Linked DNA regions of Xenopus tropicalis. The protein of the gene in region 3 interacts with the protein of the main gene of each other region in a pairwise test. Links are inferred from orthologs where the notes say so. Each region holds a gene or a part of one and is shown on either strand. Other genes may lie near its edges.

Region 1 (8,026 bases), on a different chromosome or scaffold from region 3:
TAAAAAGACAGCCATGTAACTGGGAAATTTACTATACTCAGCTGTCCTAGTTGAAACAGCTGTAACAACATGTAGAAATGTGGCTGTTAGGGTCAAATTGACTTCCACCCTGTTTTGAGCTGGAGGGCAGTTTCAGCCCAGAATGACCAGCAGAACGGCACTCAGCAGGAAAAACCGGCCAAACAATAGACCTCTGATTACAGTTTACAGCCATTTCTAACAGGCAGAGTGGAATGTCAGCCCTTTCCCTCCTACAATTGTTTTACAACAACCTTCCACACCCCCTGCCTCAAAGGAGTCTAGATAAACAACAACCAAACTCTTCATTGTCTTGTTATCTGTATTACTAAAAGGCAACCACACCCCAAAAAGCACTTCAGGCAAGTCAGCCAACATGCCCAGGTTCCTACTCAAAGAAAGGTTATGGGCCAATTTTACTCTAATACCATTATTTGTTTTATATCTTTCAACCTTCAGGTGTGTAACAAGATTGGGAATCTGTATGCTAAATGCTTTAGATGCTTTAAATGATTAGTTGGATTTCTCAGGCCAAAAAAAGTGTTATGCCTTTCAAGAAGAGAAACACCACCTATACTTCTAGAAACGAGTGCTTATAATCAAGCAATACATCCTACTTCCAAGGTGATTGTGAATAGAATGATTTTACAGGTATAATGATCTCTAATGGTATTCTTTAATTCCAGTCTGTTTTATACCATTAAGCCATGAGAGCATTAGACATACCAATTGCTTGCTCCATCAAATCTTGTCTGCTTAATCCTGACCTATTTTACATGGACTATATAGCCAGCTCAAATAGCACTTAAGTGTTGTGTAATTGCTTTTTGCGAACCCACATTATACTGCACTTTTATAAGTGTATATATCATGTGAGTGGTTAAATGCTTTGTCTAAAAAGGGCATTCCAAAACAAAAAGGGCCAAAATTTCCGATTGGCTCTTTCCATTGCAAAGCAAGGTAAACAATCTACTTACAGGACATGCTGGTGTTGACAAACTCAGAGCTTTTTGAAGTGGAGGCCGACTGCCAACATTAACAGATTCCATAAGCAAAGCCTTTGCCCAGATCTAGTATGGTTATTGGTAACAAGTGTTTTGATCACAAATGTTTTTTGCTTCAGCACAGTACTGGTCAAAAAAGTCCTATGTACAATAGGCCTTAGGTGCACAATGTGAGAACCCTTCACAGACATCTTTGCCAGTCTAACAGTTAAAGTTTCTGTAAATACAGAATCAAGGTCTCTTATCTCTCTTCTACCACAGAACCCTGGAGGTCACACAGCGACCTTAAAGGGAAAGTAACACTAAACATTTTTAGGTAAAAAATCTATTCCACCCTTCCCCAATAATTGCCCTATCCTGCACACCATTTATTATTTTGAATGCTTTATCAGAAAATACCTGCTAAAACTTGGCTTCCGGTCATTTAAGGGTGAAGATAGACAGATTAGTCGCAGCAATTTTTGAAAAACCTTTTCATGGAGACTAAACACTGCAACGCTACATCCGCCCATAAATATAGAAGCGCACAATGCAAGCCTCCATTACGTTAGCGGAAGCAATTAGTCGCCACAACAGGATTTTTAAAATTGTCGCAACTGCCTTCTCCCTAAGGTAAATAGCACACAGATAGATATGTCATTTTGCACTCCTGTCCCTATTGAGAACCACCTGAAAGCATTCACACAGAAATGAGGAAGGCCAAATGCCCCAAATAAATGTGTTATTATCATAAGAAGTCCATAAAGGAAATTTGCTCAAAGGTATTGTTCCTAAGCAAAAGGGGAGTGATAAACTGCTGAGAGGGCTGGATTCATTGTTCTCTGGAACCGTTGCAGCAGTGCCATTTTCCACTATATATAGCGATAGTGAACCCATGACAACAGACAGGTATACCAAGTCAGAGCATATAAAGGCATTGCCATTTTAAAATATGCAAAGGACTGAAAACTAAACCTTCTATATTAAAGAGAATACATCACTTTTTGCACTAATGCTTTCCTAGGGAAGAGTAGTCATCATTTTATAGTCTGTGGCAGAAATGCCAAGGGTCCCATACCTGAAGTGTCCCACAGGCTGAGCTCCACACGCTGTTCTTCTGTCTCCAAACTGGCTGTGTAATTTTCAAATACTGTAGGTACATAGGTCTGAAAACAAGAGACACACATATATAGCTGTGACTTACTGACAACACTGCAGGCAACAGAGATATTTGAATGAAACACAATATGCTGGGACAGCAAACATAAACACAATTATGCAACTGTGACAGTTGGCATCTGAGCAACATATACAGATTCTTGTGGCAACACTGCTTGGTGACACCACTGCAGCCAACACAAGCACGCATGTCTCCACAATACCACTGCAACATACAGATGATAATGACACGCAAGATGAATGCACCATACAATGAGACAACCCAGACAAGCAGACAAAGGAGAGAAACCAGAGTCAGACTGAGGAACTTAAAACACCCAATACAACATTTTTTCACCTAAATAAAAAAAACGAATAAAATATTTGGCTTTGTTACCCTTTCAAACAAATTCATAAAGACCACAATATTATACAGGTATGGGATCTATTATATGGATTGCCTAGGACCTAAAGTTCTACAGGGTCTTTCCTTAATTAGGAGTTCCAAGTCATAAGGATATTATAAAACATTTAAATATTGAAAAACTTAATAGGCTTGTCTTGTAGGCTTGTAACTATAGATTTATTCTAAAAAAAAAAAAAAAAAAAAGCATTATCAGTCAGAAAAGAATTGTTGTTTAAACACAGCTGTGGAAAATGGCAATTCCATACTACAGCGCTTTCTGTATAGCGGGTTTCCAGATAATTGATCTGCAACTATTCTGTATGTGGTATGTTTCAAAACCAAAGTGTGGGTTACAATTATTCAAAGTGGTTTATTTATAAACATTTTAGACTGTAAACTGGGGCATCAAATGATTCCTAACATGAAGTCTATTCCCGTAAAGGAATTCTGAGAGTTACAGTTCAACAGACTGAAAGCCACAGGCTGGACAACACTGTTTTACAGAAAACACTGCAAATAAATGGGAATTATCTGTGAAAATGTATCTATATACTAGATTCTAGCTACTATACCGAACCAGCTTCAGTGGGTACATTGCTGGCAGAAGGAAAGCAGGGATGGCTAAATTCCTAAGTACAGTAATAAATGTATCTCAATCACCTTCTGCCTAAACATACCGTTTAGAGAATAAGAATGTTGGTGGCATAACTGCACAGGGTGTTGGGTCTGAATCTGCACAAGGGCCACACAGGCACAAACAATAAGATTGCACAGAAAATGCAATGTTAAATGGACCAATAGACTTCATACATAGGTTGAGGGTAGGGTGGATAGAGGGTGACTGGCAGAGGTTGGGGTGCTTGTTGCTGCAACTCTATACAAAAAAAAAACTCTTTATAAAAGATTATGGATCAGTGCCCATGGGCTTCTTGTTAAACCTCTACAAATGGTGAGCACAACATGCAAGTTGTTCTGGGGATCTGTGCCCTTACTAACAGATCATATAATACCAGTAAGATTGATTGTGGGTATAGCACAAGCATGGGCGCTTACATAACTGTACTCATGGATCTTCCAAATTAGCCTAATCCATCTGATCCATGGCAAAGGGGAATGCTTACCAGTGAGCTTCCAATCATATTCTACATGCTGCTGCGCATACAATACATTTAGGGCACATAGTAGCCACCTCACACCCTGTAGATAGGTAGGGTGGTTTCATTAAATTCTGCTATATTGGGGCAAACTTGTAATACATCACCCTTTGTAGTATTGAATAACCAACCTGTTATGGCTTTAATTCATTACCATCCCATACAAATATATAAATCAGGCAACAGCCATGTAAGTAAGGTATTATATAGCAAACATTATACGCCAGTCACATTTGGCAAGTCCCAGCCAGGCAGTAGCGCTAGAGGTGCTAGTAAAGCCCTCATGTAGAAAGGATGCAGATACAGTCCAGCAGGAGTGGGAACCAGCAGTTCCACATGAGTGCACTGGCATCTCAGCAATGTGACTTGGCTAATGGCAGGGCTAAAGGCTACTGTTAATCCAGCAAGGCGAGCATGCATACACATTACTAATACCCAAAGAAAAGGGCATTCATGTGAATCAGGCCATGGGGGGGTAGAACTCACCTCTGGGTAACAATCCTTTGCCAACACTTGCAGCATTGCCGTCTTCCCACAGTGAACATCCCCCACCAAAACCAACTTGCACCTCACTACAGCGGGCTGTGGGTTCCTTCTCTCCTTCATGGTGATGCAGGGAGTATGGTGGGACAAATCCAACAATGACTTTTTACCCAACTGATACAAATTCCCAACTCCTCCAACTTATAACCTCCGCGTCGCCGGTACCACTAAAGAGAGAACGCGACAGAGAGGTTTTATATAGGCATCCCTGAGCCAATCGCAAGGCAGAAGTCGGATGGACTTGGGCCAATTAGAGGCGAGTCCTGCAGGGATGCCCCGCCTCTAACCTGAGACTGTCTTTCTAGTCAGGAATGTGCCCGCCTGCCCGGGAAAGGGCGGCAGTGATAATGCTGAATACACGTGTAAACGCCCGCTCTTGCATAATGTGCCCGCTGGCTCTGCTCGTCCCATTCCTGTGGTGGGAAAGGAACTCGCTCTGGCGCTGGCAACAAATTGTTATTCGGTATAGGTACTTACTGTCTTATTTACAGTGGCCCTGGAAAGCAGCAGGCATTGCGTACGAATAAGGAACTGATTTACCTACATGGTTTCAGGGTTATGTAACTCTCTGACTAAGCGGCAAAACCGCTGTTTGTACCAGCACATTTGCACATATTTAAATAGGACGAGTCTGGCGATTCGCAGCCAGTGCTCCATGAGGATCTTTTTGGTGACTGCTGCAAGCGGGTTATGGAGGGTGGGTGCAGAGGAGTTGGGCATAGCAAGCATAGGCAGGGGGGATGAGAAGCAAATGCTCCACTTGCATGTGTTGGATCTACAACCCAAGAAAGATAATGGTTTTAACAGCAGGAAAGAAGATCAGAACCTGGGGCAAGGAGGAAAAACTCAGGGATCTGTAGGAAGGAGCCTCAAAGCAACTGGTAAAGAATGGAAATAAAACTTCCCTTTGAGTACTTGGCAGATGTATTAGAGAGGGTTAGATGACCTTTAGACAAACTAGAAAATACAGGGCAGTTAAATTTAGCTCTTAGGACAAAGTTGATCCAGGGACTGATCCCAAAGTCAAATTGGAGTGTACAGGGCCCACCGAGGCTGCTGCCCATGGGGTCCCCACACTCCCCAAGGGCTCCCCACACTCCCCAAGGGGTCCCCACGCTCCCCAAGGGCTCCCCACACTCCCCAAGGGCTCCCCACACTCCCCAAGGGGTCCCTGCTGCGGCCCCTACATCACACCGCCCAGCCTTCCCTGAGTGTGTATACATTTACGCTTCTCCTTGCTGGTACGATTGCCATCTTAGAATTTTTTTTATCATAAGGTAAATTGGAGAGGCTCCACGTGTTTGTTTTTCTTTTTGCCTTCCTGTGGATCAAGTAGCTGTTAGGCAGGTTTTATTTAGAAATACAAGGTTGTGAACTATGTAACAGGCACAACCCTTTGCTGCCCAGCTTGAAGGGGAACTTCATTTATTTCATGCACAATAAAATATAGGAATACTACTTTTAAATATGCATTAAATGGGTGTGTAAGGTTCACCTGTAAAATCTATGGATTCTGATAGGGCTGAAGGATATAACCATCATAGAGTCTGAGCCCTGGCTAATCAGGGCAAGAGGCAGGAAGGGACACTGGCTGCAAATTGTGCACGCAAGGCGATTAGTCGCCTCAACTTTTAATTAAGCCAGTTGCCATGACATTTCGCACATAGAGTATAATGGCCAGCGCTGCAACTAATCGCTTGCGCATTTCCTCTGCACAGATTAGTCGCTGCAACTTTTCTAAACATTGCGGCAACTAATCGCCCTGTGTGTCTTCGCCCTTAAAGCAAGACTGCAAGTGACAAATACAAATTAGACAATATAAATTAAAACACAAGGAAAGCTAAAACACTGGGGGTGGGGGTTGGGGTCATTTTGTTAGGCAATGCCTAGTGATCAAGTTCCCTAACCTTTCTCCCCAGGCTGATTCATCTTTTCTATACAGCAAAACAAACCGATCCTGGGTACTTTGTTGGGGAGTGCGATGTCACCATTATTCCACTGTATCCAAGTAATCCTTGGCAGGGCTGGATTTCCAAAAAATGACACCCCCTAGGCTAGCTAGCAGTTTTTTGTCCCCCCATGCACTCCGCTACTGTGTTCCAGAACACTATTAACTGGGCACAAACAACTGTTAATCTGCTGTGTGCCCAATGCCCAGTGCTCTGGAACAAACATGTATATGCAGACTGGCCTGGGCAGCATGCCACCCCTAAAATAATTTTCCATAGGCCCAGGCATTGTTGGCCTTACCGCAAATCTGGGCCTGACCATAGGCAGGCTTGAGGTGTGCACATACACAGTATATTCTATCCAAGAACACTGCATGTATGCCCAGCCCAAGACCATGCAGAAACTTTTTAGTTCACATAAACCTTTTAATAGTTAAGATCAGTGATGAAGTTAGCATTAAGTGTGTATGGGCCAAGCAGGAATTACCACCCACTCATTTACAAAGGGGCAGCTACGGAAACGGCATCCAAGAGATTAAACACTAGAAATATGGAAATCTGATTCTTACTAAATCTATGTAAGATTATAAACCTAGGGTTATATTGTGCTAATGTTTCCACACCCTTCCTGTTCTGTTTTTCCTTATTCTTCTGCCAGCCTCCGTAGGTGTAACAATTAGGGAAGCAAAACATTCTTTGTATATAGGGCCAGAGTCTCCTCCATATATACACTGTGTGTGTGTGAGAGAGAGATAGAGAAACAGAAATTGCTGAACAAGTGCATCTGTATATAAATGTGTGAATATATGTATCTAAATATATATAAGAGCCTCCAGGCAGAGAGAACTGTCTGTATCTTCCCAGCATGCAAGGACTCCCAGCAGACTTCATACTGTTTCAGCTGAATATCATGTGCCTTCCCCTTTGGATAACATTGTTGGTGACTGTTCTTTGGTCATTAATCTCCCTTGAAAAGTTTCCCCTGTAATACTTGTGTCTAGCATAAACCTACATTGCTGTACTGCTGTAAGCATATAAAAAGAAAGGAGAACAAATAATCTAAAATAATTTCTTTTAAATAATCTAAAAAAGTACAAAGTAGATTTGTTATACATTTTATATAACATAATACAGCTGTAAGTCAATTTCAATAAATTTAGTTAATATAGTGAGATTATAGGGCATCTAAATAAAATCCTGTGAAACAAAATGTCCAGATCAGTGTTTTCCTTTTGGGAACTCATCTGTTAAGCCTTCCTCCAGTCCATGTCTAGACATGCACAAATCATCATGGAAGTGTATGGAACTGTGGGAGATTAGAGGGAACTTGGTAAGAAATGTCTAGGGAAAAGTATTTGGTGGGATTTTGAGATACCATCTTTCATTCAGGCTGCTGTACATGGGAATTGTATGTCAGCTCTGTGGAAAAGCCCAAGGGCAACCATTTTCAGATTTTAGTTGTTTTATAAAGAGACTTTATCCCTGTAAAATAAACAACAGGGTACTGTATTTTAGTCAAATAGTTAAGCTACCAGGACAATATGTGTTGTAAAAATAATTAAAAGAAAACATATCCAACATAGATAAAATGAATAATCAAACATAATCACTGGTGTCTGTCAAACGCAAATGCTTCAGACCAATGAGCTTGTAGGCTGAAAAGGTCATCCAGTGCACAAATGTTAGAAAAAAAGAATTAAACTGATACCCTGTTTTGGCTACCTGATTATATTGTTTTAATTTCAAATCGTTAGGATTATTTGTAGGTTTATCAAACATGATATCCAGTAATACAGATGTGCTGTTACTAATCAG
Region 2 (8,026 bases), on a different chromosome or scaffold from region 3:
TGGCAGGTTCACCTCCCACTGGCAGCATAGGGCAGGCAGAGTATGGCACACACTGGCAGCATAGGGCAGGAAGAGTATGGCACACACAGGCAGTACTCTGCTTGCCCTATGCTGCCTGTGTGTGTCATACACACAGGCAGCATAGGACAGTCATTACATACAGTGACACAATGCTGGCACTGCCCCTACAGTATGTCTGAGGTATGACTAGGAGAACAATGTGGGGACTTACAGTCTGAGCCTGAGGTGTGAACAATGCAGGAATTATAAGGTGTGAACAGTACAGGGGATTACACGTTTAAACAATACAGGGGTTTACAGTCTGAATCTGAGGTGTGACCAATGCAGGGGGCCATTTAATCTCAGTACTGATACCATTTAAAGTTTACACAAAGGTAAGCAGTCACATGCCTATGATTAAGTGCTTGGATGCACAAAACGCGTCAGGCGTTCTGGGTTTTAAAAGGATGTGAATAAAGATTGGATTTTATCTACTCTCTGGCGGTCTGTGGTGCTTCGAGAGCCGTTTTTCTTCTAAGATAAGCAGTCACAGCAGCCAAACAGGTGGGGGGCCACAGGCCGCCAGCTGGAAAACCCTGATCTAATACATAGACACTTTGGCAGTATTTAACCACTAAATTCACGATCTGGGCAGTAACAGTTTAGTCGATCATAGATCGCAAGTTTTGCAGCATGCAGCACTTTCAGATCAGTGAGAGGATATCTGTTTTGAAATGCTTCCTTCTTCTCCATCCCCATTCTCCTGCTCCTCTTTCTTTAAATGCTTCTGCTTTATCTGTTGGGCTTTTGCCTATGAGTAAGTGCTAGGTAAAGCATGGAGTGCCTACCTGTTAAGAAATTTTGTTTCTCTTGCTGTAGGCTCCTAAGCCTTACAATATAGTGATGTGTCTATGTCCTGCAAAATTCCTTGCTGTTAAGAAAGAAATTTTGCTGTGTCTGTATGTTTTTGGACTATGGGGCACACTAAGGCCTTGTAGACAGTATCCAGAACTGACCCCAGCATTGCTAACAGGTGAGCTGTTGCACTTCTCTCTTTCTCTCTGTTTCTTAAGCTGCCTTATTTTTTCATGTTGTCCTCATCTATAATCTTCTTCTGCCCAACCTAATTCCCAGGTGCTCTCTCATTCTCTTAAATGCATTTTCTATTTCTCAACAGACTTGTACACTGAATTGGTGTCAATGTTATTTATTACTACACTTCTTTACCACCAACAGAGTACCTACTAAGAAGTATGACAGGATGTGACTTCTGGTACCAAAGTTTAAGCTTCCTGTACACTATACACTCCTGCCTAACAACTCGCTGTTTATAATATAAAAGGCCTCTGTGTGAGGAGAAAAAGAATATCAGGCAAGCAAACGCAGAAAATATGGCAGAGGCATAAAATCATTACTGCGGCATGATCTAACAAAGACACTGAATGAAATGTGTAGTGCTGCAGCAGCAGTAATATCCCTGCCTGTGGGAATAAATGTGTTTGGTTTAGGGAAGGGGTACTACGAAAGGGGAGAAAAGGAGCTTGATGGAAATAGTTATAGGGGTGGCAGGCAGATTTAGTGAGCAATCACATACTAAGAGGTAACTGCTGCTGCCGCTCATCATCATCACAAGCAAAGCATTTAAAGGGAGAATGGGCAAATTGGGACATAAATATGTCTTTGAGGACACAAACACCTTAAAGGGCCACTACAGCCAAAGCTCCAAGCAGAATCATGCTTACAAGTAGGCTGTGACTTCTTTGGGTTATAGCACACAGGGACTTTCCCCAAAGTGTTCTAAACCACCTCTGACACCTTTTGTTAATGTTGTAGTATGCATTTTTAGACTAGAGAGTCCAAATGGAAAATAAAATTAAACAAATAGCTACCATTTACACTTTACATTAATAAGAGGTAAAAACATAACATAATAAATTCAGCCCTCTCCAAAATGTAATTTACCTATACTCATCCACAAATGCTGTGGACAAGTACTGCCTTCCATCCTCAGTCATTATAAATAGTGATTTGCACCTGCAACATTGCAGCAGCTGCAAATTTTTGTCACAACAAAAACAGCAACATATTTGGCCTAGTGATTTAGCTATAAAGCACAACATGCCCCAAGGCATATTAGAGCTTTTGTTAGCCCTTGCTAAAGTCCTAGGTTTGATTCTAAACAGTGGTGTTCTCCACATATCTGTGTGGGGTTCCTCTGGTAACGCTGATTTCTATTTAAAATCCCCCAAAAAACTCAAAAAACTTGAATGCTCTCCCAGAATCACCACATGTTGATGAAAAAAAAACAAAAACAAAAAATATATATTTTGGCCTACACTATTCATTCCTGAAGTGGGCTTAGTTTTCCTTTCAGTTCTCATGCAGTTGTGGTCAAGTCCACACCCTTATTATGATGCTATGTGCCAAGTCACTCCCATTTTTCAATACACATGTAATATGACAGTAAAAATTGCATGAAGTTGAATTCTATACAGAAAACAAATACAACTCTCTATATTGGCTGATGGATCACTAGCAGTTAATGTACAGAGGATTATTACATATGTGTCCATGTATGAGTGATGCATATTAACGAAACAGCTAGTGACACTAGAATGACATTCAACAAAATACCAAAGCTCACAAGTTAACACACCCCATCCAAAATGTGCACAATGCAAAGTAAAGAACATCACTGTTCAACAAACATTACACTACTAATTTTGACTAATAAGTTAAGGCGGGATTGATTTATTAGAATTATTCCGATTCTGCCTATTCTAGTCTCCGACTCAAAACATTATTTGTCACCCAAAAAACAGATTAAGCAACAATTCTTTTTTTTTTTTTTTTTTACTGTGTAGCTTTCTTTCCATACCCTCTCCTATTAATCTTCAGTTCCAACTGCCTGGTTGCTAGGGTTCTCAAGGCCTAGCATCCAGATAGCAGTTGAAAATGCCAAGTGTGAGATTTGGAGGTTTGTATTATGTTAATAATGCTACACAAACATGCAAAGAGTTATTATGCAGTTTGACTAACTTCTGACTGCATGCTCATCCATGTGTGGGCCACTGAAGTTATCAACATTGGTGATAACTCTCCCTATGGTAAGACACCAAAGTAGATTGGACATAAATGTAGACAAACTAGTTATTTGACTATTCCTGTTGGCCATGAGGGCAATGGAATTCTCTAAATGCAAAACTTTTTGCATATACTATCAATCTTGGGCAGCCTTTTTCCCCCCAACACTAAGGGGCACATTTATCAAAATGTGAAGTCAGAGCTTAGTACATAAAAACACACCCCCCTTCTATTTATTCCTCTGGGATTTTAGAAGGGCATTTACCAAAGGGTGAATGTAAGAACTCGCCTTTTGATCAATACACTTTTAAAAATCCCACAGGAATAAATAGAATGTGGGTGAGTTTTTATTTATTAAGCTCTAAACTCACATTTTGATAAATCTGACCCTAAATATGTGCCTTCTATAGGAGAGTTACCTATATGCTACTCACACTTAAATAGAAAGACACACTATCAGAAACACTCTTTTACAAAAGGCCCTGTACATATGTGTAACATACTAATACCCGGACCCTCTACTTCCTGTTCCCCATTGCTTGCTGCCCTGTACAGAGCTAGCAAGGAAACCTACCAAGACATAAAAGGAACTTTAAAGTGATAAATAAATGTTAATGTAATGTGTCTAAACTGGAACTTGCGTATCTGTCAGTGAGCTAGCCAATGACACCCAGCCTCAGTCACAAGATCCTGCTTCAGATGTGCAAAGCATAGGGACCGGAACCATTGGTTAAAACGCCAGTATAACATGACAAGCAGAGAGAGAAACAAGTACCCCACATGCCCAAGTTTAACAAGAGCAACAACCTGCTGGTGACGGCCTTAATGGGCTGACCCTGTATGTAGCACAGGGAAAGACTAGTCATTATGTAAATAGATCGCCACGGCTCTGTAACTCGCAAAGCTTGAGTTTCTGCGCTCACTGAGCTTGCTGGGAGCCGTAGAACCGTGGGTGGACCGACAGTGTCAAACGCCCAGCAGAATTTCCATGGAGGCACAAAAGTAACTGTGACAGGGCCGAGAGCAGGCAGAGAGTTAGTAAGCAGCCGGCAAACAGGCCTCATCCTCGGCCTTCCCTGTAATACAAGCTAGCGTTTGCCTCTGCCCTTCGCCTTTGCCCAGAACCCGCCTTACCGACAACTTCTCTTCTTTCCCACCAGGGGCCCGCAAAATACCCCGACGTCCACTCAGATCCTTTTTTTTTTTTTTTTTCTTTGCCGAGAAACTGTCTCTTCGTTGGATAACAAATTAGCGGCACCGAAACAATACGAAAAGAGATAAAACTAAAACAAAACCAAAAAAAAAAATAGTCCCGACAGCTGCCCAAAAAGTCACACAGAGACACGGGGACCCGCCTAACTAGGAGCGGGTACGCGCACTGCTTGCAGGATGGGGTAAAGGGAGGAGCCGGAGCTGGGGGAGGGCAAGCGACCCCATTCGGCCGAGGAGCAGCCAATAGGAAACGCGTAGTAGAGAGTGGCATGCGTGCTGGCTGTCTTTGTGAAGAACCGTTAGTGGGCTAGATAGATGGGAGCGCGCTTGGTAGAGGGTTCCGATATGTTAACTATGTACGAGAAGAATGTTCCTCTTCTGCTAGCACTTTCTAAAATAACTGATCTTTTACCGAATAAGATTCATGACGTGGACGTTTGCTGTATTTTACTTCTTTGAAATAAAGTTATTTGAAGTAGTTGTACGTGTGCGTATGAACATATCCAATGCACTCTTTTTGAGACTTGATGCAAGCATTGAGGCTTTCTGTGTAGACGCAGAACGCTTTCTTGGAGCTATCTGTAACACTAGGGTACAAGCTTTATAACCATAGCTTTGCCAGAGAGGTGACATTTTTTGAAAGTAATGGCAAATGTGTACATTGGCTAAATTCCTGCTGGAAAGCCCTAAATGTGGGGTAGAATTCTCTGGGGTGCTGGTTTATGTAGGATAGCTGCAGCGGTGTTTCAGATCATTCCTGCTGTAGGTGGAGTAGAGTTAAAATAGGGCAAAAGTGCATTGGATAATTAACAGCCACACTCACTTCTATAGATATTACCTAAATCCATTCAGGCCTATAATCATTGCACAATGATAATCTGACCTACAGTTCCAGGCAATTCTTATAGAAATGAACTAGAAGCAATTCAAGTTAGCTGAGCTGAAACTTTCTCATGCAACAAAATGCTCTACAGCGCTTTGTGTTGGTGGAATTTGCCACTATATAGCCACAAGAGCCCTAGTGAACTGGGATTTTGATGATAGGCAATCAAGCCTCAATCAATCAATTGTAGAGTAATGTAGCCTTAAGGTTTGCTTTCAGCAGAACCAGTGATCCTAGCTCAAACCATGCAGACAGTCACATATTATTATTTTTTCTTCCGCAAACAGTTGGCACTTTTTATTCAGTTAGGTAATATTCTCCTGGTATCCAAGAATAAGATCCAAACTAAACTAAGACTCATTCCTCAGACTGTAGATTATCCATTTCTATTACTTAAAGGAAAACTATACCCCCATAAAATATATTGCATAAACAAGCTCATATGTAAAACCCTTCTTCATCTAAATAAACCATTTTTATAAATATGATCCTTTTTAGTAGTACGTGCTATTGAGTAATCCAAAATAGAAAACTGCCATTTTTATGAATTAAGGGCCGCCTCCTGGGATCATAGGATTCCAGTTACAGTAAGAGCTTCATTATTTCTGGTTATGTGATCTCTGAGGGAGCACACAGCCCATCACTAAATGATGGATCAAGGGAAAGGATGTAAAAGGGAATACTTACTTATATATATTCCAGTTTGGTGAGATTCTTTAATAGTTCACTTAAAGCAGTTCATATGATATTTGACATTGTGCTTGGTCATGATAACCTGTGTTCAGCTGCTCACCCATAAAAAAAAAACCTATAATGTTTGTGCCGAAGTTGCTATCAGAGAAAGTGTCTTACTAATCAGTGAGAGTTTAATCTGAGGAGATGCAATTTTAAAAGGGATGCCCAAATACGTTATCAAAGACTCAGGCCCAAATTTATTATGCAGGTGCCCCAAGGCCAGCCAACCCCTGGAGGCACTTGCTTGTCAGTTTTAAACAACTGTAAAACCTGCATGTCCAGTCTTGTGCTCCGAAACATATGTAAATGTGTCTGGACGGCATGGTGCCCCTAAAATCAAGCCTACCATGACTTTTTTTCTGCAGTGCATGTTCTTCTTCCCAGCTTCTGCTTGTGGCCTCCTTCTAGAAAGTCCATGGGGTTCTTAATCTTTCTCACTGGGTACTAAATCTAGATGCTACCTTTGAACACTTTGCCTCCAAGTGCTGACAAAACTGCATGTTAATATAACCACTTGGCAGAAGCAACTTTACAATGAATATCTTGGATAACAAATAAGCACTTAACACCATACATCACCCAAACTAATCTTCATAGTGAATGGGACTCATCACCCATATATATATATATATATACATATCAGATATAATGTGTGTAAAATATGGGCATCATTTTTTCAAATTTAATTTGCTCTCTGTACAAATTAGAGGAGAGTTCCCTGTGCCCAAGTTTATCGGAAAGCTGGTGTGCAGTTACTTTGACTGCACAATTTGAGGTTTCCGTTCAGAAAACATAAAGGCACAGATAACTCATAGTGCTTCTGCTGCTCACACAGGAAGTTAGGTATATGAAAATTGGCTTTTCGGCTTAAACTATATGTTGTTGTATTTTTCGGTTCCAAATATTTGAATAAAGAAGTCTACATTTCTGAAAACAGAACAGAGCCTTCTACTATTTTTAGTCATTCATTTTATTTACATTTCAGAAGTTATAAAATTAGCAAAAACAAATGTTTATAATTTATGGTAATATAAAAAGGTGTGAAGTGCCTTATAGGGAACCTGTCACCCTAAGAAAAAACTCCAAATTCTTTTCTATCATGTTTGTTGAGCAAAATAAATTTCATTTACACTATACAGATAGTATTAATCTTGTTTCCTTTAGTCTTGGAACTATTCAATCACAGCAAGCAGGCAGCTGCCATTTTGTGGACACTGTTAGTAAGGCAAGCTTTGCATCACACTAAAATCTTGTTGGAGGGCCAGGTGCCCATACCCATGCACTGGCTACATAATTAGGTGATAGGGAGGGAGGGGAAAAGTGTGAAGTGCAGTGACATCTAGGAAGTTGTCAGGACCTGCCTGTACTGGAACTCTGGACTCTATTTTAGGCAGGTTCTGCATTACCTCACTGAGCCACTGGAGACCATGGGCATCCAGCCCTAAACATTCTGTTAACCCCTCTTCGCTTCTGTGTTTATGTTCACCTTCTCCTCCCTTAATTAGCCCAGGTGGTTGCAATCAGACAATTAATGGGCTTTATAAGCCTGTTACAAGCAACCCCTGGTTGCTTGATCATTGAGCCCTTTTGCAATCCAGTGTCCTTACCTGCTTGATTCCTGGCCCTGTTCCTGCCCGCGTACCTGCCTGATTCCGTTCACCTTACCCTGTTCTTCAACTCCTGTTCCTGATCTCTGTTGGGTCTCCCGGTATTGACCTCGGCCTGATTATTGGACTTCCCCTGACCACTGCCTGTTATTCCGGAACCTCCTTGTTTGCTGCCAGTCCAGACCCTCTGCCTGCTTTCCAGATTTGTTTAATCTTCTGCCTGCCTCTGACCACTGGCCTGTTGTAAGGACATCCATATTTCTTATTGCTCATTTTCATTGCTCACTTAATAAATCATGTTTCAGCAACATAACTTGTTTCCTGCCTATCAACAAGCACAGTACCCCCTTTATCCATATTACACGGCATATAAGCTCCTACCTGCCAGCCACCCACCTGTGGCTGCTCCTGACAGAAGTGCTGAATGGAAAGCTACAGGTATTGTCTGCCCCACCTCTATGCCTAAGGCATAGAGGCGGGGCAGGCAATATATGATTGACAGCTG
Region 3 (8,070 bases):
CCCCTGACATAGGGGCTATTAAATAGCCAATTATAGCTCTCATTGGCACCTCCAGGAACTTTTTTCATGCTTATGTTGCTCTCCAAAACTTTTTTCATTTGAATGTGGTTTACTTCTACAAAATGATTGGGGATCCCTGCTGTAAAGGAACACTTTGAAAGAAAAAAAACAAAACTTTAGATCACTACTATAAATGTTCCAGATAACATATCTAAGAAAAAAATGAAAGTCATCCTACCATAATAGTATTAATGCTCTAAAGGTGATATGTGTCTCTGTGTGATCCTCCTTTAAACAGTGGTGTTAAAAGGGGCTCTGTGTAGCTTGCCATTTCTGTCTTCAGTTGCAAGCTTTTTTTTTTTTGTTACCTTTAGCGGTGGTATTGTACATTTCTTGTGTCCCCAAACTTACTCCACAGGTCCAAATACATACTTTGCCCAATGCATTTCATCTTGGTAGGCTTTCTAAAGTTATATGGTCTAACTAAACCAAACGACAAAAGGGAAAATTCCCAGTAGGTCCAGGCACAAGTGAGCTCTCCTTTTCTCCAAGAATGTGGCTTTCTATGAAAGTATTATAGCTATTCTCTTAGAAAAAATAAATAAATACCAAAAACAGAAGTAACAAAAAAAAAAAAACAGTGGGGGTAATTTACTAACATAGGTGCTCAACTGCACTGGTACAAGTTTACATCACAACCTATGGATATCAGATTTTGTAGGATTAAATCTGACCCACAAAAGTAGGGATGCACCAAATCCAGGATTTGATTCGGGACTCGGCCAAGATTCAGCCAAATCCACACTCTTGGCCGAGCCAAATCCTCAAAATCACATTACTTATGGTCACAAACACGGCTCTAAACCCTTACTTATCCTAATTTACGAATACAAATTAGTATTCAGACTGTTTGGTATTTGGCCGAAACATTTACGATAGCGGATTCATTGCATCCCTACACAAAATCTAATTTAAAAAAGTTACTCAGCAGAACTGCAAAAGAAAAATGCAAGGGTAAAATTTTACCTGTAGTTAGCTACACATATAAAAATCCACTGGTTTGTTCAGGCTGCGATGTTGAAGCAGAGTCAAGTCATATTTAAGCACCCAAAATAAGAAAATCTCTGCAGCCCGCCGCTGGATACTTAAGGCAAAAGCCAGCAGTGATACTGAGGGAGAACTTGATCTTTAGCGATCAGTGCATGCTCAGTACAGTAGGATTGCCTGTTCATGTGCTTATCAAAAGATGGAAGAAAGGGAGTGAGCTGAGCAGAGTCTGACTGGAGTGACTGGGGCCCACTGGGTACTTGACTTAAGGGGTCCACCACCCAGCCAGTGCTGCTCCTAGCTCACCAAGTTCCCACTCCGGAAGATGGCCGTTCCACAGTAGAACTTATGCCCATCTTTAACTTTTAAAGGAACAGTTCAGTGTAAAACTGAAACTGGGTAAAATAGACTGTGCAAAATAAAAAAATGTTTTCAATATGGTTAGTTAGCCGAAAATGTAATCTATAAAGTATTATGTAGGCAGATGTCTAACATAGTAGCCAGAACACTACTTCCTCCTCCTAAGTTGTTAACAGTCAGTTACCAATCAGTGACTTGAGTGGACATAACATTTTGCACAGTCTATTTTACACAGTTTCATTTTTTACTAAACTGTTCCTTAAACAGCAAAATAAGTAGCACAGCTAAGCAGGGAGAGGTGATGGCTGGGGCTTGCGGGCAGACTGGCATTCAAAACAGGCCATGGCATTTCAGGCAGAGATGCCCAAACCAAACAGCCCCCCATCAACCCACTAGTGACTGTCTATGGCATCTTACAGCAGCCTCTCTGGCATTTGCCAGCCAGGGCTTGGGTGGCAGGGTCTGGGCCCACTGAGATTTTTCCTGATATCCTGGTAGTCCAGTTTGACCCTGGAGCTAAGGTCCAGTGCTTAAGGCAGCACCAGACAAATTAAAAAGTTTAGCTTCCATACAGGGCCCAGTGGGCTGCCTATATCGGTCTGTGTATAGACACATGGAAAGACTAAGAATCCTATATATACTAGGGGCTGCCAAAATGTAAAGCACTACCCAGTGCATTACATTACTATACTATCTCCTCAGACCGATGCTCCTTTGTGTCCTTATTTTTTCAGATTTTAGTCTATTACACATGCTCAAATCTAAGTTTATGAAAGGCACAGCTGAACCACTTTTAGAAAGTTTCCCAAGCCAGTAGTGATGTCGGGGTCGACTTCTTGTCGACCTGCACCCCCCCCCCCTCTCCATCTGCACCCAAACTGGCCCGCAGCTTCATGTCTATTAAATAAAAAAAGACTCCAGTGATTAAATTCACTTAGAGGGGAATTTACATATCAACACTTCCCCTACCCCAATGACAAGGTTTCTTTCCCATTAAAGACACAACACATACAAGACCTTAACCACATCATCAAAAATAAGTCTACTTCTATAGAAATAGACCTAGCAATCTGTAATAATGACCACCCCTTCAGATCAAAAAAACCTTATAGAAGCCACTTATCATATACCTCTGCCTATGGCATGAATTCAAACAAAAAAAAAACCACTCATTGAGAAAATGAAATCAAATATCTGATAGGTTGTCATGAGCAACTGAATTGGTGATATGTAGTAGTTGTTATCTTAGTAAATCATCCATACAGAGAGTTAACCCATACAAAATGGCTGCAATGTAACCGATCTAGTGCTTATTTCATAATGCCAGCAGTTGTTGTTTGTCTGTTAAACAAGCAGGTCTGATGCAGACTTGCACTTTTTTGTAGTATTTTATTATACAAATTTTGAGGTGTTTATTGCGTCTCTGAATCCCAATAGTGTGTGTATTTGATGCATTTAATGTTCTAGCACCAAATATAAACCTATAGATAAGTATATCACATATGGTCACACCATGCTGATAGTTTGCATTAATGCCGTATTGCAGGGAAGTCCTACCTGTGGCCTGCCATCTGGACTAGATCTCCCTAAGCGCTAATCACTAATCACTTTTAATCTTCCAAGAGATGCTGAAAGCTCAACAGCTGGAGGGCCAGAGGCTGGTCATCAATGCAACACTGAGATAAAAAAAAATAAAGCCTGAATCACCAGACGCCACTCATTTTTTTGACTTAAATTTATATCTTATACTTACAACACCTGACCTACACCAAGGGACCCATAATTGTGATATCACTTTCTCATAACATGCTCTTTTCCACTTACACCCTTATTGTTGGATACAGTTTGAATCCCTTTAGGATTTGCTTGGCTCTCTCATCCTGAGACATGTTGAATGCTGTCCTTGATTTCCTTTATCAGTTGAAGGATTATCCCTTGAGATATACAGTTCAAGTTTTCCGGTCCTAGTTATGCAAAAGCTATAAAAGCCAGTGTTGAGTTTTACAGTGATTACAATAGACTTCTGGCCTCTGTAGATGATCCAGGTTTGTTAAGCCTGCATAAGATTCATACTGACACAACAAAAGTTTAGTTTGGTTTAAAATTAAATACGATGGTCTTGGAACAGTACTGGTATAAGTCTTGTTTAATTTAAATTTCAGAAAGTACATGCATGACGGTCTCTCGCTGGCCAGTAGAATGACAATAAAATAGGTGTGGCCTAACCCTAACTTGGACTGTCAGAGTAATTCCATTTCAGCCAGTGCTAGCAACAGCAACCAGCACAAGCAATCATAGGTGATCCAACAGTAGCTTCACTCTCTCAGTACATACACGTTTTAATATGCAATATCTTGAGATGTGTCCAAGTGCCAATTCTGGCAGGTGAGTTGGGGCCCTTGCAGCAATTGATGATATGGACAATACACAAAATATAACTGCAATGGTAGATGGTTTGAGCCAGAAAGGGTACAGGCAAGCGATATCAGCCAGTCAGACCACAGGTAGGCTGTACAGGCCAGACATAGTGCAGGTAGGTCGGTGCTGGGGTAATCTAGCAGCATAAACAGCTTCTATGCATTAAGTAGTAGTTCCACACCTATATCACACCCACCACATAGAGTAATAATCCTGAACAGAATTTGCAGTTTTACTTGCACCTGGAGGCGAGCAGCGTGGATTCTGCCTCTGACAGACGCCCTGATCAGCTTTCCGTAACACAGAGGTCCCAGGGCCACGGCACTGGGAAGAACTCTACAATGTTGCACTGCTTTCCGGAATCGTATAGTAACTACTCGTTATGTCAGCATGGATTTAACAACTAGCTCCTCGTCTACAGGATCTGGCTAAGAAGATTTACTAAGCTACATCAGTTCCTCCTATTTGCCCTATGACGTTTAGTACAGTTCAACAAAAAATGCTAGCACCGGCCAATCACAGTCGGAATCCCTGCTGAGTGATATCGCCACGCACCAATTAGGAGAGAGAGAACGTCGCACGCAGGGCGGGACAAATCGATTTCAAGTCTGGTTGAGTGCTCGCGCGTCACTAATTTGAGGAACCTCATGTTGCATAGAAACGGAGGAAAGTTGTACGGGACACGAAAAGGGTCAAAATACATTCACTGGCTACTTGTTCCAGGTGGTAATAGAGAATAATTGAGTTTGGGTGATCTTGCAAAGTTTACTTACTGAAGCAAAGCAATTTAGAGCACAAGTTCACATGTTCACAACTCGTGTAGGTAACTTAATGCATTACATGATGACTGTTAGTAACTACATAGTTGGGAAGATACTGGATTCTATTTTTTTTTATTTTAGGTTAAATTTACTGGCGCAAATTTTCTCCCCCTCTTATTCAACCATAGTTTACAGACCCGGACTGTGATTCAAAATAGGACATGGCATTTCTATTATACAGAGGCCCAAATAGCCCCCCCCCCCCTCCCCAATAAATAGTGACTTGTAGATTGTAAGCTCTTTTGGGCAGGGCCCTCTTCACCTCTTGTATCGGTTACTGATTGCTTTATATGTTACTCTGTATGTCCAATGTATGTAACCCACATATTGTACAGCGCTGCGGAATATGTTGGCGCTTTATAAATAAATGTTAATGTAATAATTTATAGTGCACATCAGGCATTTACCAGAATACACAGATTACCAGTCCAGGCCTGAGGGGCACCGAAATTATATTATATAATGAGAGGCAGTGGGTACTGACTCACAAAATACATTTTATATAATGGGAGGAACTACGTACTGAAAAACCAAATATAAACTGAGAGGAAGTGGGCATTGAAACACTGCCAGGAGAGCTAGTAGGGAGAGGCGACACAAAAATTCTCTTAACTGCACAAAAACTGGATACCTACAGTGGCTTGCAAAAGTATTCGGCCCCCTTGAACTTTTCCACATTTTGTCACATTACAGCCACAAACATGAATCGATTTTATTGGAATTCCACGTGAAAGACCAATACAAAGTGGTGTACACGTGAGAAGTGGAACGAAAATCATACATGATTCCAAACATTTTTTACAAATAAATAACTGCAAAGTGGGGTGTGCGTAATTATTCAGCCCCCTGAGTCAATACTTTGTAGAACCACCTTTTGCTGCAATTACAGCTGCCAGGCTTTTAGGGTATGTCTCTACCAGCTTTGCACATCTAGAGACTGAAATCCTTGCCCATTCTTCTTTGCAAAACAGCTCCAGCTCAGTCAGATTAGATGGACAGCGTTTATGGACAGCAGTTTTCAGATATTGCCGCAGATTCTCGATTGGATTTAGATCTGGACTTTGACTGGGCCATTCCAACACGTGGATATGTTTTGTTTTAAACCAGGGATCCCCAACCTTTTATACCCGTGAGCCACATTCAGATGGAAAAAGTTTTGGGGAGCAACACGCGCATGGAAAACGTTCCTGGGGGTGCCAAATAAGAGCTATAATTGGTTATTTGGTAGCCTGTATGTAGACTGGCAGCCTACAGAAGGCTCAGTTTGGCTTTACACTGGGTTTCATGCAACCAAAACTTGCCTCCAAGCCAGGAATTCTAAAATGAGCAGCTACTTTGAGGTCCCTGGGAGCAACGTCCTAGGGGTTGGGGAGCAACATGTTGCTCACAAACCACTGGTTGGGGATCACTGTTTTAAACCATTCCATTGTTGCCCTGGCTTTATGTTTAGGGTCGTTGTCCTGCTGGAAGGTAAACCTCCGCCCCAGTCTCAAGTCTTTTGCAGACTCCAAGAGGTTTTCTTCCAAGATTGCCCTGTATTTGGCTCCATCCATCTTCCCATCAACTCTGACCAGCTTCCCTGTCCCTGCTGAAGAGAAGCACCCCCAGAGCATGATGCTGCCACCACCATATTTGACAGTGGGGATGGTGTGTTCAGAGTGATGTGCAGTGTTAGTTTTCCGCCACACATAGCGTTTTGCATTTTGGCCAAAAAGTTCCATTTTGGTCTCATCTGACCAGAGCACCTTCTTCCACATGTTTGCTGTGTCCCCCACATGGCTTGTGGCAAACTGCAAACAGGACTTCTTATGGTTTTCTGTTAACAATGGCTTTCTTCTTGCCACTCTTCCATAAAGGCCAACTTTGTGCAGTGCACGACTAATAGTTGTCCTATGGACAGATTCCCCCACTTGAGCTGTAGATTTCTGCAGCTCGTCCAGAGTCACCATGGGCCTCTTGGCTGCATTTCTGATCAGCGCTCTCCTTGTTCGGCCTGTGAGTTTAGGTGGACGGCCTTGTCTTGGTAGGTTTACAGTTGTGCCATACTCCTTCCATTTCTGAATGATCGTTTGAACAGTGCTCTGTGGGATGTTCAAGGCTTTGGAAATCTGTTTGTAGCCTAAGCCTGCTTTAAATTTCTCAATAACTTTATCCCTGACATGTCTGGTGTGTTCTTTGGACTTCACGGTGTTGTTGCTCCCAATATTCTCTTAGACAACCTCTGAGGCCGTCACAGAGCAGCTGTATTTGTACTGACATTAGATTACACACAGGTGCACTCTATTTAGTCATTAGCACTCATCAGGCAATGTCTATGGGCAACTGACTGCACTCAGACCAAAGGGGGCTGAATAATTACGCACACCCCACTTTGCAGTTGTTTATTTGTAAAATATGTTTGGAATCATGTATGATTTTCGTTCCACTTCTCACGTGTACACCACTTTGTATTGGTCTTTCACGTGGAATTCCAATAAAATAGATTCATGTTTGTGGCTGTAATGTGACAAAATGTGGAAAAGTTCAAGGGGGCTGAATACTTTTGCAAGCCACTGTAGATGCTATTTAACCAGAGACAGGGAGAATGCCCTGTTTCTCTTGTGCAGGTCAGAGCGCAGAATGTGGTCAGATAATTAAGGGATCATTCCTTCAGAATCTGCTATGGCTGTAATTGAGTACACAACTATATACATTATCAGAGCTATAAACCCCAGGGGATTGTTGTGACATGCAAATCGCGCCGTCCATATTCTGGTGGGGTGTGTTGTTTGACGTCATCCCACATGCACACAATGCACATGACATCATGAAATGTTCACTGCACACTGCACTTTTTGCAATTGGAAATGATGTGTGCTTCTCTGAATACATGTGGCGTGATGTGGCTATTTCATTTATCAAGGACTGTCCAGTCCAACCACCCCCTGTATTCAGAGGAGCCCCAATTAGTTGTTGTAGGGGATGTCATTAGAAGCACATTAGAAGCTATTGTTAAGCAATGTATTTGGGAACCCCACTAACTACCAATGATTCATGATAAAGACAGGTATGAGGGCAAGATTGGTGCATGGGAATAAACATTTTTTGGGCCTGCAGTTCCAATGCCTATGTCAAAATGTATCTGCCCAATCAGATTTCAACTATAATAGGGAACAACAACATGTAACAAAACATGTATATGAGGGTTTTCAAAGGTTCAGATCTTTATAGCCATATGTTTAGCCCAAGATTCCATAGTACTACTGTAGAACTATTCAGCAGTGCATTGCGGAAATGAAAAAAAAAAACGTGTAACGTGTTCCTAACAGTTTTCAAGGGTGCAGAGCTTTGCCATCAATTTACTCCAAAATCACACTTTACTATTTGACCAATAAGTGCCCCATTACATTGTGTTGAAATACTACTAAGCACATTGTTGCAAAGG

The links. The genes of interacting proteins can lie anywhere in the genome.
Region 1: the proteins of retinal rod rhodopsin-sensitive cGMP 3',5'-cyclic phosphodiesterase subunit delta (region 3) and rnd1 interact in a two-hybrid assay, tested with the Homo sapiens proteins (2 studies listed by BioGRID). The link is inferred for Xenopus tropicalis from reciprocal best matches to the Homo sapiens genes PDE6D and RND1.
Region 2: the proteins of retinal rod rhodopsin-sensitive cGMP 3',5'-cyclic phosphodiesterase subunit delta (region 3) and rap1a interact in a two-hybrid assay, tested with the Homo sapiens proteins (2 studies listed by BioGRID). The link is inferred for Xenopus tropicalis from reciprocal best matches to the Homo sapiens genes PDE6D and RAP1A.

The regions. Positions count from the first base shown.
Region 1 is NC_030678.2:136,032,235-136,040,260, forward strand, and holds the start of rnd1 (rho-related GTP-binding protein Rho6), read right to left. Parts: upstream 4,418-8,026; 5' UTR 4,326-4,417; coding exon 4,206-4,325; intron 2,168-4,205; coding exon 2,080-2,167; intron 1-2,079. UniProt on the Homo sapiens protein: Lacks intrinsic GTPase activity. Has a low affinity for GDP, and constitutively binds GTP. Controls rearrangements of the actin cytoskeleton. Induces the Rac-dependent neuritic process formation in part by disruption of the cortical actin filaments.
Region 2 is NC_030678.2:59,457,063-59,465,088, reverse strand, and holds the start of rap1a (ras-related protein Rap-1A), read right to left. Parts: upstream 4,418-8,026; 5' UTR 4,219-4,417; intron 1-4,218. UniProt on the Homo sapiens protein: Counteracts the mitogenic function of Ras, at least partly because it can interact with Ras GAPs and RAF in a competitive manner. Together with ITGB1BP1, regulates KRIT1 localization to microtubules and membranes.
Region 3 is NC_030681.2:101,178,067-101,186,136, forward strand, and holds the start of retinal rod rhodopsin-sensitive cGMP 3',5'-cyclic phosphodiesterase subunit delta, read right to left. Parts: upstream 4,323-8,070; 5' UTR 3,297-4,322; coding exon 3,250-3,296; intron 1-3,249. UniProt on the Homo sapiens protein: Promotes the release of prenylated target proteins from cellular membranes. Modulates the activity of prenylated or palmitoylated Ras family members by regulating their subcellular location.